Arabidopsis thaliana: one gene and its partners. The protein of the gene in region 2 interacts with the protein of the main gene of each other region in a pairwise test. Each region holds a gene or a part of one and is shown on either strand. Other genes may lie near its edges. The genes, in order: HB-2, AT3G52050 and AT2G37150.

Region 1 (3,963 bases), on a different chromosome or scaffold from region 2:
CTATAATCATTTCTTCTTTTGGCGTGTCACTGGGACCTTCACTGTCAATGCTGAATTAATCTCCTTTAAGGATTTGAAGGCAAGAAAAATCTTGTTGCAACTAATAAAAGGAATCGATTTTGATGCTCATTAATCGACCTTTATGACCAAAATGGGTCTATATGAAATAATTATATGATTTGACAAGTAACCATTTGATTTACAAATTATTCAACGATTTAGCATTACAAAAACATCTAACCATGCTTAATGTATGATGTTATTCATTTTAAAAAGTCGAATGAAACCCATGTTTATCTCAATGCATGATTTAATAATTTTATTATACATGCACATAATTCTACATTTTTAATTAATTTTATTAGTTTAATAATAATAATTAATTTTCTTTTTTTACACTTGTTATAGGTGAGAAATGAAAGTTATCATAATACAAAACATCAGTTTTTATAAAACCAAATAAAACTCAAAAATCATTCAGACAAATAAGTTTATGGACTTATGGTATATGATGATACTCTCTCAACATCCTCATTAACATCATCACTATTAAGTTAACAAAAAGAAAAAGAAAACATCATTATAAGTTATTAATAAGTTTAAATAGTAGTATTTTATATTCTGGTACAATGTACTGTTTTTGGTCATTAAGTGGTTCAACGACAAAAGTAAAACTCATGCGGTCGACCCATGCGTTAGAAGAAGAAAATCTGAAAAGAAGTTTGAATTCTTTAATTTTTTCATAAAAAGAAGTTTGAATTCAATTCAACCGTTTTTGTTTAGTTCTTCTTTAATTAACTTTATCACTAATGTTTAAAAGTAAAAGGTTTTTAAAGTGTGCAACAAGCGTGACTCTTTGGCCTTTAGAGTCATCAAGAAGGGTAATCATTTTTTTTACTCTTTCTCGACAATAGCAATCAAATTATCATTCCCACTTTTAATAATCTCATAAAATAAAGTCAATCATAGTTAAAATTTGATAAATTCCATGGAAATGATAAAAATTTGATTTTACTATTGTTGGATGTGCAATTGTTCATGGTAACTTACTAATTTATATGCTTTATTAGTTGCAGATAGTGATATATATCGAAAAATGAAAGATCTAATTCCAATAATTGTCAAAGAGGATTTCTAAATTTCTGTTTGACTAGGTCATATATTCTCACGACTCAACGATCTAACCAATCACCTACAACAGAAAATTTGGTTGAAATAAAACGAAAAGTGATAAGTCCAAATGTTTAAAACAAAAAAAAAGTAAACAAAAGGCAAAATAAGATAACTACGATTAGATTTTGTTCTCGCCTTATGAATATCCTAAAAATTATCTATTAGTGATAGTTTGATAATCATCTTTGACTGAGAAAATTGATGTCACATAAACATTAATATAGTATCAACATTAATCATTAATGATGCGACTATAATTATTATTTTATCACAATTTCTTAGATTTGATAATTTGTTTAGGTTTGAGAGAGTTATATAGAGGGGGACAAAGAAGCAAAGTTTGTGATTATAAAATTATTTCCATTGAACTAAAGTTTTCAATAGTTTATTCTTGACTTTAATAATAATAACTATTTTGCCCCCAGCTAGTCACATACTCATGATTGCAAAATCTCTCTCTCTCTCTGCCTCTCTATATATTAACCTTTCTTCTTCCTTTACTTTCTCATCTTCTATCTCTCAAAAGAAAAGCAGACAACTTTATTTGCAAAAACAGAGTTTTTTTTTCTTATCTTGAGAAAGTTCAACAGAAGATGATGTTCGAGAAAGACGATCTGGGTCTAAGCTTAGGCTTGAATTTTCCAAAGAAACAGATCAATCTCAAATCAAATCCATCTGTTTCTGTTACTCCTTCTTCTTCTTCTTTTGGATTATTCAGAAGATCTTCATGGAACGAGAGTTTTACTTCTTCAGGTACTTCATCGCTTTCTTCGTTCCTCTGTTTTTTTTTATTTTTCCCCGGAAAAAACCTTAAAGGTCTCACCTTTTACTCTACTTTTCAATCTTATGCATGCAGTTCCAAACTCAGATTCGTCACAAAAAGAAACAAGAACTTTCATCCGAGGAATCGACGTGAACAGACCACCGTCTACAGCGGAATACGGCGACGAAGACGCTGGAGTATCTTCACCTAACAGTACAGTCTCAAGCTCTACAGGGAAAAGAAGCGAGAGAGAAGAAGACACAGATCCACAAGGCTCAAGAGGAATCAGTGACGATGAAGATGGTGATAACTCCAGGAAAAAGCTTAGACTTTCCAAAGATCAATCTGCTATTCTTGAAGAGACCTTCAAAGATCACAGTACTCTCAATCCGGTAATTTTTTTCTTCTTTTACTTATTGTTTCACCCGAGAAAGTTTGGTTTTACTGGGAAAATTAATGGCTATGATAAATTGTGGAAACGAAAAAAGAACGCGTTAATGAAATATTCACATTAAAATGACTATTGTTACATGTTGACCAAAGAAAAAACATTACTACTACTATTTGTTTCGGTCTCTCATAAATGCAGATATTAATTTATAAATGGCATTTTGGTAAATGTAGACTGATATCAAGGTTTTTTTCAACTTTTTTTCACAGAAGCAGAAGCAAGCATTGGCTAAACAATTAGGGTTACGAGCAAGACAAGTGGAAGTTTGGTTTCAGAACAGACGAGCAAGGTAAATAAAACACACACAAACAAAAGATCTCTCTATTTGCCTGATTTATCTATTTTCTTATAAGGGTATTTTGGTAAATGTTTAACAGAACAAAGCTGAAGCAAACGGAGGTAGACTGCGAGTTCTTACGGAGATGCTGCGAGAATCTAACGGAAGAGAACCGTCGGCTACAAAAAGAAGTAACGGAATTGAGAGCACTTAAGCTCTCTCCTCAGTTCTACATGCACATGAGCCCACCCACTACTTTGACCATGTGCCCTTCATGTGAACACGTGTCGGTCCCGCCACCACAACCTCAGGCTGCTACGTCAGCGCACCACCGGTCGTTGCCGGTCAATGCGTGGGCTCCTGCGACGAGGATATCTCACGGCTTGACTTTTGACGCTCTTCGTCCTAGGTCCTAAGTCTTTTTACTTGCAACCAAAGGGCATTTTGGTCGTTTTTTAAGTTTCATGGACCAGATATGCATGTAGTTGTTAACATGTATGTATTTTCTTAGAAAGAAAGAAAAACAGATTAATATTTTTCTAGCTTAAACCAACATATATGTGTCATGCTAACAAGTAACAACAAATATTTAGAGCCAATGCTATCAGATATTATGACTTTGAAATCATTTTGTTTTGTTTTGTTGCAATAAATATTTTGGACAAAACTATCACAAGAAACTTTATTGCAATAATATTTATAGTGTCTAGCGAGTAGCCACAAACCAAGAAGTACAATTGATGTAGGAAATGCAAAAGAAAATTAAATGGTCCAAATTGTTTCATGTGGCTATGTGAAAAATATTAAATAGTGGGCTAAAAATAGTTGAAATTTCTAAAAGTTTTTCCAGGATTTTTTTTTTTTTTTTTTTTGTTAAACTTAAAAACTTAAAACTTATACTTTGGGCCCAAGTGTTCCTGGCATTACCATTACAACTATAAGTGAGAAAGAGATTACCATATGTCATACATGAGTATGGGCAAAGTTTAGGCCTTATTGAACATGTAGGTTAGGCTATGGGCCACTTCTTGGGTTTGAAAGGTTAACGCAAGTGCTTATCCCCACTACATGTTAAATTTAAAACTCTGATTTTTCAATGGTGTTGAATTGGACTGCTCTGAGATGTTGAAAATGCTAGATGATCAATAGGATTGGATACGTTTAACGTATTTAGGATATACTAGGCCATGAAGTAGTAATATTTGTACTAATTGTCTTGCTAAAAAGGTAAGAGCATGAGGGTTCATGTTTTCCTATGTAAGCAGCTTGGTGTCGGATTTACTCTCTTTGGAGAGTAGC
Region 2 (7,184 bases):
AACCTATCTGTTTCTATAGAAAGATCAACTGATATTCCATGTTACTGACAAAAGTCGGTGTGATACTTCAACATGGCTACCTAGCCCCTCTGCCCCTGTAAGGTTGTTGGCTTCTCTATCCACACTGATAAGTTGTATGTTTTCTTTTTCAACCAGTTACATTGACCCAGAAGCTGTAGTTGGATGCGAGGATGGAACAGCTCGTGTATTTGATATGTACAGTAAGACATGTTCACAGATCATTAGGTAAGCTATGTATTATGTGTCTGTTGTGTTATGGAACAACACAGTGAAACTGGAAAAGAACGGTTTTTCATTATCAAAATTGTTTACAATTTCTTTTGAGAAAGCTAAATCACAATTTTCCTATCAGATTGGTTAATAACTATGTATGTAATTGCAGGACTCAGGGTGGGCCAATAACATGCTTATCTCTAAGCGATAATCAACTATTTCTTAGTGGGTCGTCACTCGGGAGAGTAACAGTATCTGACCCTTTGATGGATCAACCAGTGGCCACTCTTAAATCCACGATAACTGCAGGAGGTAAACTCAAACTCAATGTCAGATTGCATCTCCAGTGACATTTCTTAAAGCAACCTCCATTCTCTACAGGTATACAGACAATCTGTTTTAACCAAGGCACTAATCTCGCCTTCATTGGAACAACTGGTGGATATGTTTCATGCTGGGACCTCAGGTATGTTAAAATAGTCGTCTAAGGTTTTTTTCAAAGATGCAAGTTTTAATTCACTATCTTAAGACGTTATAACCAACTATTATCTAACAGGAAAATGGATAGATTGTGGGAAAAACGAGTGAGTCCTAATGTCGTGTACTCAATACAACAGCTAAGGAATGACACATCGGTTATGGTAGCTGGTGGAATAGACGGTGTGCTGCGTATGATTGATCAGAAGAGTGGAAGGGTTTTATCTAGAGTTATAATGGACGATAAATTCTCCACAACATCAACAAGGAACAACCAAGTGGTGATAGAGAAAAGAAGAGGAAAAAGAGTTTCTCAAGACATGGAGATTGATAAAATCGAAAGGAAAGTTCGGCCTCAAATCAGTTGCATAGCAATGGGGATGAAGAAGATGGTAACGGCTCACAATGGTAAATGCATAAGTGTATGGAAGTTCAATCTCTCGTAAAGTAACAATAAACTTGTTTGTAAGTGACGAAATTGGTAACAATAGCATTATAAATGATTGATTTAAAGACAAAACCGATTGGATTGTGTAAGAGCTACAAAAGTTGAAACACTGGAAACAAAAAAAGAAGGGTTTGTTGTCTATTTGGCGGATTTCTTGGATGGCTCAGGTTGAGATTCAGCTTTGATGATATTGAGTTGACCACCTTCTTTACAAGCTGCATTAGTTGCTTTCACTTCATTGCAATGGTTTATGAATTTCGTAAGCTCCTGCTCCACACAACACCAACCAATAACTCACAATTAAAGATCCAATCGATTCAGAATTTAGGGAGATTGAAGAATATAGAAATTACCCGATCAGTGTCCATCTCTTTCGTCATCTTTGTTGGTTTCACATTTCTCTTCCCTGGAACAAGAAGATGATAAAATCTGAGAAATCAAAATCGAAAGGGATTTGTGTGAAGTAAAAAAAAAGTGAATACCTTTGCGAGTTTGAATGGATTTGCCATGGCGATTAGGAGCAATAGTCTTCCTCTTCTGTTGGCCCTTGAACTGATTGCTCTTCTGCGTCATCTTTGGATCGTCGTTTCTAGCTAGGGTTTTCTCTTCTGTCGAAGGGTTTTTGTTGTAATAGAAGAAGAAGAAGAACAACAATCAAAAGCCTATATAATGGGCTCTTAAGGCCTTTATTTATATGGGCTGATTAATTATTGGGCCCAATTTGGAGTTTTCTAAATTCAACTCTGCTAAATTTTTGGGAGGCAGAAGATTTTGTTCCGAGGAAGACACGGATACGCAGAAAGCGGTAAAATCCTCCTTCTTCGTCGTCCTTGTAAAAACCCTTTCTCATTTTTGGAAGGTTCTTTCAAAATCCTTTCTTCGATTGCTTTCGGATTCTCGCTCGCTTCTTCGATTTTTGGTTTTGATTCATGGTGAATGTGTTTCCTCCGCTAAGGTTAAACGCTCTTCTTCTTCATGACAGTACTTTCAGTGACGTCATGACGCTGCATCTGTATCATCACTCCCGTTTTCTATGGAGGAATCTCTGTTTTCCTCGGAGTGTTGGAAACTTGTGTAATCGGAACTGTTCTCTCATCTCTCCTTCCCTTGCACGCTCTGCGAAGGTGATACTTGTACTTGTATCGTTCAATTCTGAGCTATTTAGATGTGGTTTTTACTCTTGTTATGTAGTCTACATCTGAATCATGGCTCTGATTAGTTTGATATACAGATTTTCTGAATCAATTGAATGTTTCTTTCGCGACATTTCTGTTTACTATAAACTCAAAATTGATCTCTGAAGGATACTTATTATTTCGTTCTAATGTTGATATAAACATTTGTGGTACACAGTACTATTGCAGTTCCGTAGCTGTTTCTGAATTCTCAAATGAAGCAGCTAGTGGCAGCACATTGACTTCTATAAGTGAAGATGTTACGCCACAGTCGATAAAATATCCTTTCAAGTCAGAAGAAAGAGTAGCTAGTACTGCTGCTTCTTCAAATGGCAGAGTGATGCTTATTGATGGGACATCGATTATATACAGGGCTTATTATAAGCTTTTAGGTAATTCTGCTACTCATGTGTACATCAAATGTTAATTTTTTTTCCTCCCGATCTCACACTTATTGACATTTGATTGGGCATGTGCAGCAAGGTTGAATCATGGTCATCTGGCTCATGCTGATGGAAATGCGGACTGGGTTTTAACAATATTTTCATCTCTTTCTCTTGTAAGTGATATCTTGAGTATTGTTCTCCAGATGTTCATTTTTACTGTACTTAAATCTGATGGTTGAGAAAAGCTTCTTGTAGCATTAACGATGGCTGACCAAGTAATCATGGTTGCGTATAATTATGTTTCCTTAAGGCTAAAGTTTATCTTTCTTGTTATAACTTTCGCATTCGACTTCTTACCTTGTTTCATTGTGTTCTCATTTTCAGCTGATTGATGTTTTGAAATTTCTCCCATCCCATGTGGCGGTAAATTCCATTATCCATTTAACATCGCATTTCTTTATATCTGTGATGATCGAATGAAGTTCTTGTAGTTTTCTTAATGTTGGATAGCCCCTACTGACTTAATTAACTGTGTCCATGCAGGTGGTGTTCGACCATGATGGTGAGTCCTAATGTAATAGTCTTCTATAATTGGTTAAATTCATGGACGTCTATCTACTTCATGTGGTGATGTAGGAAGAATTCAGGTTTTTGGGGACTTTTAGTGTCTATAGTTAACCACTTTGAGTGTGCCTCTCAGATGATTTAAACTAATTCATTGATATAAGCCCTTATTTCAAACTCTATAGTTATGGCCTCTATACTTCCTGATTTTAATTACTCAAGTATGTGTATGATTTCCCCTTATCAATTGATGCTAATTGCTCCTCTAGTCATCTATAATTTTGATTTTCATCATCCTCTTTCAGATGAATAGATAAATAATTGTCTTCAGCTTGTTGAATGTTGTTGCCCGAAAACTTAGATTATGTTGAGTGTTGATGTTTTCAACTTCATTTGTATCATAGTGAATGGATAAAAGTTTCAGATTTCAACTTCTGGCCACTACTGAGAACATTTATTCGATAGGCCTAAGAGTAAGCAGGTGGAGATCTAGATGGTGATATATTGACCAAAATTGATTACTTAATCTTGATAATCATTACTGTACTATTTATGGAATATTCCACTAAGTTATCTAGAAAAGCTTCTAGTAATGCATAATAGTGGTAATCTGACAAATATCATGTAGTAATCATGGTTATGTCATATGTGAGGCAAGAAGATTAAATGCTTTCTGGACCTATACGTCTCTAGTTACTCTTTTTTAACAAAATAGAGCCTTTTTCAGGAGTTCCTTATGGCACTACTTCTAATTCATCTACAGGTTATCGTTCTGCAAAAGGTAAGCTCCATGTCCTTAGTCAAACTAAAGTAATTTAATTGACAGTATAAGAAGTGGTCATTTTTGCATGAGAGTTTAGTTAGTATGCTGACTCGATGGTGATGTATGTAATATCATCGCCGATGATCTCCAATTGCTATACAAGCCTTCAGTATATTGCTTCTAAATATATAAACTTGCAGTTTGAACTGATTTTCTGCTGTGTGCCTAGGAGAAATTATTCCGGAAATTATGGCTTACTTGCCAAGGATGATATTTGAAGTGAAATGCCAACTTTGTCTTCCTTTGGGTGTTTTGCTTGCCGCTTTTGGGCAGTCATAAACTTTGGTGTAGATAACAGAGGGTCGGTCATATGCGCTTCCATGGCGGTCTTTGGCTATTTGTAAAATAAACTTAGGTCATATCCAATGATGAACGTAGGTCCAGTATGCTTGATGTCTTTTGTTGTTTCCGTTCTGTACATACTGACATAGATATGCATATCCAATACTCTCTTCTTTCTACGTGATGGGTTCACTTGGCTGCTCAAACTGTAAATTTTAGGCTTTTTGGCACTCTAAACCTCGACATGATTCTCCCTTGTCTTTGCGCAGAGTGTGAAGGATTATTTTTATGCATCAGTATCAAACCTATCTTTGTTCATGTTTAAATTTTTACAGGCATGAACTTCCGTCATACTCTCTACCCAGCATATAAAAGTAATCGTCCTCCCACACCTGATACCATAGTACAAGGACTTCAATATCTCAAAGCGTCCATCAAGGCAATGTCTATAAAAGTTATAGAGGTAAATCATGCACATGATTGCCATATTTCCTTTCATTGTGATGATTTCTCACTAATGGGCAGACATTCCATGAAGACAGGTGCCAGGTGTAGAAGCTGATGATGTTATTGGAACACTGGCTATGCGAAGCATTAGTGCCGGTTTCAAAGTACTCATTTTCAGCTATTCGAGAAGTGTTCACTACTTATTGAATGCTCAGGGTCTGTTCAATTTGTCCTTTTCCTAGAAGTGGACTGATCATTTGTTTGTTACCCCTTTACAGGTCCGAGTTGTCTCTCCAGACAAAGACTTCTTTCAGATTCTTTCTCCCTCGTTGCGTCTTCTTCGACTAACACCACGCGGATCAGAGTATGAAATTCATGTTAGATGGATAATTGCCTCATTGTAGAATTTTGCGTATTATGAAACCATAGTTGCTCTTTGTATCCTGTATGTTTTTTCCACTCAGTTGTGTCAAGGCTACTGCTTCTTGTGGCAGGATGGCTTCTTTTGGAATGGAAGATTTTGCTAAAAAGTTTGGAAATTTGGAACCAGCACAATTTGTTGATATCATCGCCCTTGCTGGAGACAAGTCTGATAATATTCCAGGTTAAGCCCACTTCCTCTACCCCTCACGAAATTGTTAATTTCTGGGGATATTCCTTTCATAGCCGCATTTTGTGTATCACAGAAAAGTTGAGCAAAAGTGCACAATCTACATACAAACGTTTAGCCAAAGTGCACACAGGAAAGGGCTAAAGTGATCTAATGATGTTTGTGTGATGCAGGAGTTGATGGTATTGGGAATGTGCACGCAGTGGAACTGATATCTAGATTTGGTATTCACTGAGTCATGCTATATTCTTTGATTTCATTGATTTGCGCCCCATGTTTCCTATTACTCACTTTTATTGCATTATCAGGCACGTTGGAGAATCTGTTGCAGTCTGTGGATGAGATCAAAGAAGGAAAAATAAAGGAGGTGAGTGAACAAGTGTTGCAGAGGTTAGGCAAGCTAGTGCTTCTGTGATATGCAAGGCCTAATATTATAATCTTCCTTGTCTTTGCAACAGTCTCTAATAGCTAGTGCGGATCAAGCCATTCTTAGCAAGAAATTGGTAGGTTTTCCTGTTTTTCTTTCATACTTTCATTCATTTATTCAGTTGTTAAGTTCACAAGGTAGGGATGATGAATTGTGTTAATGGCAGGCACTGTTACGGTCTGATCTCCCAGATTACATAGTACCGTTCGACACGAAAGATCTTACTTTTAAGAAACCAGAGGTTTGTATTTGTATGACGATATACATCTACTACAATAGACTAACTGAAAACAGAAAGATTAGTAACAGAGGATAATTTGTGAAATGTACAGGACAATGGTGAGAAATTGAGTAGCCTGTTAATCGCGATTGCGGATTACGCAGAAGGATTTTCAGCTGATCCAGTCATCAGAAGAGCTTTCAGGTTGTGGGAAAAACTGGAAGCAGTGCCATGATGATATTTTATGCATCTTTTTTCTTACTCGTTTCTTTGTATTGGGTACATAAAATAGAGTAAGTTCAAGCCAAGCTTAGAAAGTTCTCCCACAAAACATTAAAGCGATACTTTCACAATCCTTTTGTAAAGCATGCTTTATTGTAACTATGGAGAATGATGAAGTTGATGCTAATTTAGAATGCTCCTCCATGGGAGGTTCCATTACATAAAACACAAGGGAGATGATAACTTCAAGCTAGCCTCTTCTGAACACATCTAAAATGCTGTCTGAAACTCTGTTCACTTTGCTAAAACAAGAATCTCTTCTGTCTTTTAGTTGAATAGGTAAACTAACGTTAATATCATTTACTATTATTAGTATCCGCTAAATTGATTATAAAAAAAGGTCAAGTTAATGCCTCATGGAGACATATGATGATGATGATCAAAGTAAATTATAAACTAAGAAGAAAATATTCGTCTCTATTGAATTAATTATGTACATTAGTGACAATAAGAACTAAAAATATTCTAAACAAATTAACAATGAAAGAAAAGAGACAAGGTACTAAACTAGTACGTAAATTAGTAGACAAACTCCTTCATTGGATCTCAAACCAAATCGAAAACCAAGGACCAAGGTAGCATTATGCTTTTGATGATGGGGTCTGAAAGTGTGTTACCACTTACCACCTTGTGACAACTTTGGAACACTGAGTATTGGTGAAACCACTACTCAAAGCTTAAGCCCGTTCGCACAGTGACCCGGCTTTGAGCTTATGAAATAATGGACTCCGGGGTTTGGTGAGCCTGACGAGATCGAGGCCTGTCTTGTGCACGGCTACTGGAGAAGTGGGGTCGCAATATCTGAATTC
Region 3 (6,645 bases), on a different chromosome or scaffold from region 2:
GATTATCATAGACATAACATCTTTTTGTATATATGCTCCTAAACATTAAGCAGTTCAAACTATACTCAAAGGCCAACCTTAGCTATGCAGAGTGGGCACAAGGAGACATCGTGCCTACATTCGATGAGTACTTGGAGATTGGTGGTGTTGAGGTGTCAATGTATGTAACTGTTTCATGCAGTTTTCTTGGGTTGGTACAAACTGCTAGAAGAAAAAGTTATGAGTGGCTTAAATCCAGACGGCCAAGTCAGTGAACGAAGTGTACTTGAAGTCAAGGAAGATAATATCAGGCGATATCTTATCACGGGCCACTAATGCTGGAAAAATGATAGATGTGACCTACAGGACCGGTGAAGAATTCACCCATCCACAAGGAAAATTCAAGGACTATATCATCTCTTTATTTGTCAATCTTATTTCTCTTTGAAGATGAAATACCATATAGTGTGAAGTGTTGTGTAACTATTTGCATCTGTAACAAATCCAGATTTTCCAAAGAGAGCCTTTTCCAATAATTAACATATATATTAACCCTTGAGAAAGATCCTGGACTTTCTTCTATTTACAACTATTAATCACTAAGAAAACTTAATGTTATATTCTGTCACATATTTTTCTTCCTTTCGAAAGACAAATGAATATAACATGCACACATAAAAGATAACCTATAATTTATGATGAGTTCTTAGAAGCATCAGGTAAAGCAGGGGATTTGCAAATAGGGCAAGAGTTCTTCATAGACAACCATTTCTTGATGCACCTCCCATGGTAGTCATGACCACACCCCTTAACTTCCCCTAACTCTTCTTTTTCCTTGTACTCCTCCTATTTGTTTACCAATTACCACATCACCCTTAAGTTAGCCTACTTCTAACTTTATAGACACATAATGTTTCAGACAACTAAATCTTACCAGGTTGTGAAAAAAAAAAAAAAAACTAAATCTTACCAGGCAGATTGCACATTTTCTTTGCTCCTCTGTTTGATATGATGGATAATACATTGTTGCTAACAAGCAACTGGAGATTGCGCTGTCGGATAGACCAGTGTTGACACTCCCAATCCTTTCTCCAAGATCAAGGAGTTCCTGCATATATATGTCAGTACCAAAACTTTTCGTTTTGCCTATGTGAGGCTTCAAAAGATAAGTGTTTGGCTATTAACCTCATAGCTCATGTTATCGATGTCAAGCCTCATGTCTCTGTGGTGATCAAGCATGTTTCTGGATCCGTAGTATTGTGGTTGGCGATCTTCAACCATGAATTCCTATTATTACATACACCCCAAAAAATAACAGATTACAGTTCAGCATGCAGCAGAAAATGATAAGATTGCAAATCTATATCTTAATATTCGATATGCACTGTATCATATCGGCTTGATCTTTATCTTAATACTAAATGTAATTTAGACAGACTTCCACTCTAAATAATGCATCTGTAAGGGAAATATATACCTCAGATGAAAACCGTTCGTGGAGAGCAACTTCATCGAAAGGAGGCTGAAACCTCTCATAGGAACTTCTGCGTCTCCCTGGCCGATCACCGCTACGCCATGAAATGTGTGGTGGTGGCCTTAAATGCCTAGACGGATAAGTCTCAGTGACCAAATGAGACCTGTCTCCAGAAGAAGATGCTACATGTCCCGATCGCGAACCGTGTGAAGAAGATCTATAGGTGGATGTTGACCTATGAGAGAAGCGGCTGCTGCTTGTAGATAGTGTTGAAGTTCCAGGAACCCCGTGGGAAACTGTAGGGTTTCTGTTTCCGGTAAGCTCATGGTGATGATAGCCGGAAGTATTAACAGATAAGCTGTTGACAACACTTCTTGCAGGAAGGAAATTATTTGTCTCTGGACTAAAGCCATTTATATCTGCAAAGTGGGAATTAATGTGATTATTAGAAACAAAGACGATTCAGATATCGAGACAAAGTGAACTTTGCATACCTCTAAGAACTGGGGACAATCTAGCACAGTTCCAGTCTTTATTTCCGTGAGATGTCTGACCAGGAAATTGACCTGAGCCATAATGATCAACACTGTGGTGGTGTGTAGAATGAGAATCAAGGCTCAAGCTTCTTGGCAAATTATTTCTACCTAAGCTGGTCTCTGAATCAAGTGTAGGACGACTCCGGACATTCCTTGAAGAGCTCTCTCCCCTGATCGAGAGATTATTACTTCTGTAAGTTGGGTTCATAAGCCATGGCATGTAATGAGGGTCATGATCATGCGTTATTGATTTTCCCAAGTGCAATTCCGAGGGGAAATGAGTGTCTGCAGGAGTTCTGTCACCGTGATATTGGCTTGAACTACCCATTTCATAGATGGAAGAAGGACATGGTCGTTTTCTCTTTTGTGCTCCTCTCACACTTTCCATAGATTGATGATCAACATAACTAGCATTTGACCATGTCTGGCTGTTGTAGCTTGAAGAAGATGCAAATGTCACATAATTCTCATGTGGAGCAGAGAAAGTTGGAACTGTTGAATTCACGGAAGGATCATGGGACGGCCCCGAAACCCCCGGATTGTAGTGTGGTCTCTCCACACTATGACCTGAGTCAGTATAAGCATTTGGTCCTGGAGAAGAGTTCCAATGAGAAGACACTGGCATTCCTTCATTCAACATGTTTTCTGCTGGATAAACATGTGATCTGTTCTCACTGGTCCCAGATGTTGCTGAGAAAATGTGGGATGGACAATAATTAATCAGAAATATGGAACATATTACCCTAAAACTAAACATGCATCATCAACCAAATTTCAATAAATAAAAAACAGATTAAGGAACTATAGAATGAAGGACTAATTACCTTGACTCGAATATGGATGTTCTGGGTGTGTATGATTCCAGCCTTGATCATGTTCATCATCAAAAAACTGGGATGAACCAAGAAAATGTCTGTGCCCCATTAAACCTGCACAAAAATTTCTCTCACCATTCAAAATCCCAGGAAAACATCCGCAAGCTCAGAAAAAAAAAAAATCTATAATTTCCAACCAACATAGTTTACTTTCAGTCTGATAGCCAAATTTCCCAAGTAAATATATAAGAAATCAGTCCATAGTTTCAAGCTCTAGTACCATTACCTTTGTAACATGTACCTACCATATTATATACCTCAGATCTCATGATATCATAAGCAAACAAGTTTTTGTGGACTTAGGCTCTGTGCTGCAGGAAAGTTCATGATGCTTATACATGAAAAATAAACCTTAATAGTACAGATCTTTTAGTTCATAAGAAAAACTTACATAGAAGAGTTTGTCAATAACAACAGACATACTTCTTTTAAACCAAAAGAAAAGAGAGGCAGAAAACAAGCACGGTTGGGAAACTAAGAAGCCTTTGCATTTAAAGTATCACTAAGGTTCTCGACTCTCCAAACCAGAGCCATCAAAAGTGAAGAGTAATACAAGGAGTTCATCAAATTACACACTTTCAAAAAGTCTATAGAATTTACAGAAAAGTCTATAGGAAACTGATTAGGAAATAGAAGAGGATGAAAGAATAAGGCACGATGGCAAATTATCATATACTGTATCCGCATAAAAGAGCATCAGAGCAAGTTCATGCAAAATAGGTAACACTTGATATCATCTTTTCAGTTTCTATCAATGTACTACTTCTTCGTTTATATTCAAGTAAAGGCCTTGTACATGTATTTCACTAAACTTACAACCATAGATGACATGAGCAAGAAAATTACATGGAAAATCCAATAGCAGGACTTAAGCTTAAAATATTTTTCTGAACCGAAACCCTCAAAAGTGCACCTGCAGGCAAATAATCCTAGAAGGATATAGGTTTAGAAAGTCCTAACCACGAATACACTACACTACCCAAGTGATAAAGCCGTCGTGCTTGATTGATCACTGATTCATCATTTCTGCACACCTTTAAAGTAGACCAACAGGAAGCAATTAGGCCCTTGACTTCACTAATACAATGAGAACACCAAATTCTATTCCTTCTCCTCTGATCCACAAATTGAATACACTACAGTTTCCTTAGATAAACGGATTTAGTCCACAAAAGTACTAGCCTGCAAAGGCTTACTACCTCATTTACTATTTCTGCGCTCTTATTGTCTTCAAACCCACCAGCACACCTTAATAGACTCCTGAATTCGGGCTTGTGTGAAAGGATGCTTTCTTAAAATTAGCATTATGTTTCACATCATTGTGCATCCAAATCAAATGCTTGTACGTGACAGCATGTCACTCTAGAAACCATTATATGATAGATGTAGTTTGTTAGGAAGATTGAAGTTCCCCACTCATGGATACCGTACCTCAAGCATCTTCAACTGACTAAACACACTCTGGTACACATGTGATGGCAGAGACTAGTTATGGTTATTTCCTTACCCCTATGGATCAGAATAACTTCTAGATGACTTGAGTTCAAGTTCGCTTTGCTTTCCCAATCAACCAAGAAGGTCCACAACACAATCCGCAAATCAGAATACATCAAGGATAGGCCAGCCACCAATCCTAATGGGCTAACATGAGGAACTAACATCTGTTTGAAATGTGTTATCAATGCAATTTCTTTAAGAATGATGCCATAATTTCAAAGTTTCTAAAAGTTCTCAAAGAGGAAGATGAATTCTGACCTGAAACTATAGCCGTACTAGTTCTCAAATCTTCCAAACACTTGAATCACTGATTAGGCTTTTCTCCAGTTTCTCAACTACCAGAGGTTCGTGGTGGAGAAAGGTATGATAGAACTAGAAACCACCATTGCCACTAAACCTGCAGCCTGCAGGATACAAACCAGCTAAGCCTAGGTTATGCTAATACACTATATCCCAAACTAGCTTACCCGCATCGCTGAAGTAGCAGCCTGAACAACATTATCAACAGCTAACCAAAACACAAAGCTTACAACATCTCCTCTAATCACCGAGCTGGTCTCTTCTCAGTATCGGAATCTTAAAAAGCTAACAACTACGTGAAAGAGAACAAATTCGAAGTCTGAAATTATCAGAACCGACTCCGGTTAACGGACATGATCGCGATCATACCCGAAGATTGTGGGAAAAGTCACCGATGTAGCAGCAAAACCGGGAATAAACCGGATTAAACCGAAAAAAAGAAACAATCCATCATCACACAATCACAAGAGAAAAAAGGAAACAACGATCGGCTTGTTTATACATACCAACACGAAATAATCAGCTCAACGGCGAAACAACAATAATGATCGGAGAAATGAGAAACATTACCAAAGCGTTCCGGCGATGAGAAAAGAAGACCGATCGGAGAAAAGCAAAGAGACGTATGGATTCGTATAGATGACGCAACCTTTTATGAAAAAGAGGTTTTAGAGAGAGAAATATGTTTTGAAGACAAATTGCTTTCTTTTTTGGTGATGGTTGAGCGATGAAGAGTATCGGTTTATATTTAAGAAAAATCAAATTAAAGCGGTTGAGTTACGACGTTGCCGGGACATTAATCCCTTCTCTGACCAACTTCACCGGCTACCGGTAAAACCCGTTCACTGTCTTATTGTCGACTAAACAATTTATTAATTAACTATGGTTCTTCAGTAATGGGCCTATATTTTTGGACTGTACTTGGGCCTCAGCTGTACGTATCAAAAGGGTTCGAGAAACTCAGAGATTAAAGGGATCTTGACCGTTGATCGAGATGACTTTGATTTTATCCATTAATAGTCAATTTGATTGATGAGTTAAGAGGATGATTAAGAAAGCAATAAAGGAAGCGAATCGGAATCCACATTGTATTAATCTTTTTGATCCAGTAGCCATTGGCGAATCCAGGAGTATTAAAGTTCCATTTTGATTTTGGCGACGATGATGAACAGAGTTTAGAGAAATTTGCATTGAAGAAGAGAAGATTTTTGGATTTTGTGTAGTGGGAGAAGGGTAAACCCTAGCTTGGGAGGGACATGATCGGATGCTCTAAGTAGCTTGTGAATTAGAGAAAGAGCAAGTGAGCAAATATGATGAACACTTCGAATGGGATGATCTCTGGGCCTTCTTCTTCGTCAGCTTCGGCGGCGAATCCTCAGTCTCCGGGAATCAAAACGTATTTCAAGACGCCTGAAGGAAAGTACAAGCTCCACTACGAGAAGACGCATCCCTCTGGGCTTCTTCACTACACTCATGGCAAAACCGTTACTCAGGTGAAGATTTGATTCGTTTTCTTTGGTGTTTATTTTTGAATTGAAAGTTTAATCCAATCTGATTTCTTTGCACTTGTGATTGCTATTACGAAATTGCTATTAGGTTTTGTGTAAGAATATCAAATGCACATTTCATTTTTATGTTTTGAAAGTGGTTTCTGAGAATGGATTTGTGAAATTTTGGTGTCAGGTTACTCTAGCTCACCTTAAGGATAAACCTGCTCCATCGACACCAACTGGGACCTCGTCAAGTTCCACAGCTAGTAGCGGTTTCCGGTCAGCAACAGCAAGGTTATTGGGTGGTGGGAATGGTAACCGTGCGCTTAGTTTTGTTGGAGGTAATGGAGGGGCTAAAAATGTGGGTGCAAGTTCAAGGATTGGGGCCTCATTCGCTGCTTCTAGTTCTAATACCTCAGCTACTAATACAAATTTCGATGGGAAAGGAACTTACTTAGTCTTCAATGTTGGTGATGCTATTTTTATTAGTGACT

The links.
Region 1: the proteins of AT3G52050 (region 2) and HB-2 interact in a two-hybrid assay, tested with the Arabidopsis thaliana proteins (one large-scale study listed by BioGRID).
Region 3: the proteins of AT3G52050 (region 2) and AT2G37150 interact in a two-hybrid assay, tested with the Arabidopsis thaliana proteins (one large-scale study listed by BioGRID).

The regions. Positions count from the first base shown.
Region 1 is NC_003075.7:9,447,525-9,451,487, forward strand, and holds HB-2 (homeobox protein 2), read left to right. Parts: upstream 1-1,589; 5' UTR 1,590-1,766; coding exon 1,767-1,926; intron 1,927-2,029; coding exon 2,030-2,328; intron 2,329-2,596; coding exon 2,597-2,676; intron 2,677-2,764; coding exon 2,765-3,080; 3' UTR 3,081-3,381; downstream 3,382-3,963. UniProt on the Arabidopsis thaliana protein: Probable transcription factor involved in the negative regulation of cell elongation and specific cell proliferation processes such as lateral root formation and secondary growth of the vascular system.
Region 2 is NC_003074.8:19,303,071-19,310,254, forward strand, and holds AT3G52050 (5'-3' exonuclease family protein), read left to right. Parts: upstream 1-1,815; 5' UTR 1,816-2,088; coding exon 2,089-2,283; intron 2,284-2,512; coding exon 2,513-2,726; intron 2,727-2,813; coding exon 2,814-2,893; intron 2,894-3,104; coding exon 3,105-3,143; intron 3,144-3,263; coding exon 3,264-3,282; intron 3,283-4,011; coding exon 4,012-4,065; intron 4,066-4,724; coding exon 4,725-4,852; intron 4,853-4,931; coding exon 4,932-5,000; intron 5,001-5,114; coding exon 5,115-5,200; intron 5,201-5,330; coding exon 5,331-5,440; intron 5,441-5,619; coding exon 5,620-5,670; intron 5,671-5,754; coding exon 5,755-5,813; coding exon of another isoform or gene 5,814-5,861; exon of another isoform or gene 5,862-5,904; coding exon 5,905-5,949; intron 5,950-6,039; coding exon 6,040-6,114; intron 6,115-6,205; coding exon 6,206-6,328; 3' UTR 6,329-6,581; downstream 6,582-7,184. Other genes in the region: AT3G52030 (F-box family protein with WD40/YVTN repeat doamin), read left to right, coding at 157-246, 404-546, 616-700, 791-1,157; AT3G52040 (2,3-bisphosphoglycerate-dependent phosphoglycerate mutase), read right to left, coding at 1,298-1,426, 1,513-1,565, 1,642-1,732.
Region 3 is NC_003071.7:15,603,076-15,609,720, forward strand, and holds AT2G37150 (RING/U-box superfamily protein), read right to left. Parts: upstream 4,526-6,645; coding exon 4,372-4,525; exon of another isoform or gene 3,134-4,371; coding exon of another isoform or gene 3,091-3,133; exon of another isoform or gene 2,919-3,090; coding exon 2,814-2,918; intron 2,680-2,813; coding exon 1,948-2,679; intron 1,873-1,947; coding exon 1,457-1,872; intron 1,267-1,456; coding exon 1,165-1,266; intron 1,088-1,164; coding exon 950-1,087; intron 826-949; coding exon 673-825; 3' UTR 506-672; downstream 1-505. Other genes in the region: AT2G37140 (Terpenoid synthases superfamily protein), read left to right, coding at 51-254; AT2G37160 (Transducin/WD40 repeat-like superfamily protein), read left to right, coding at 5,972-6,154, 6,258-6,645.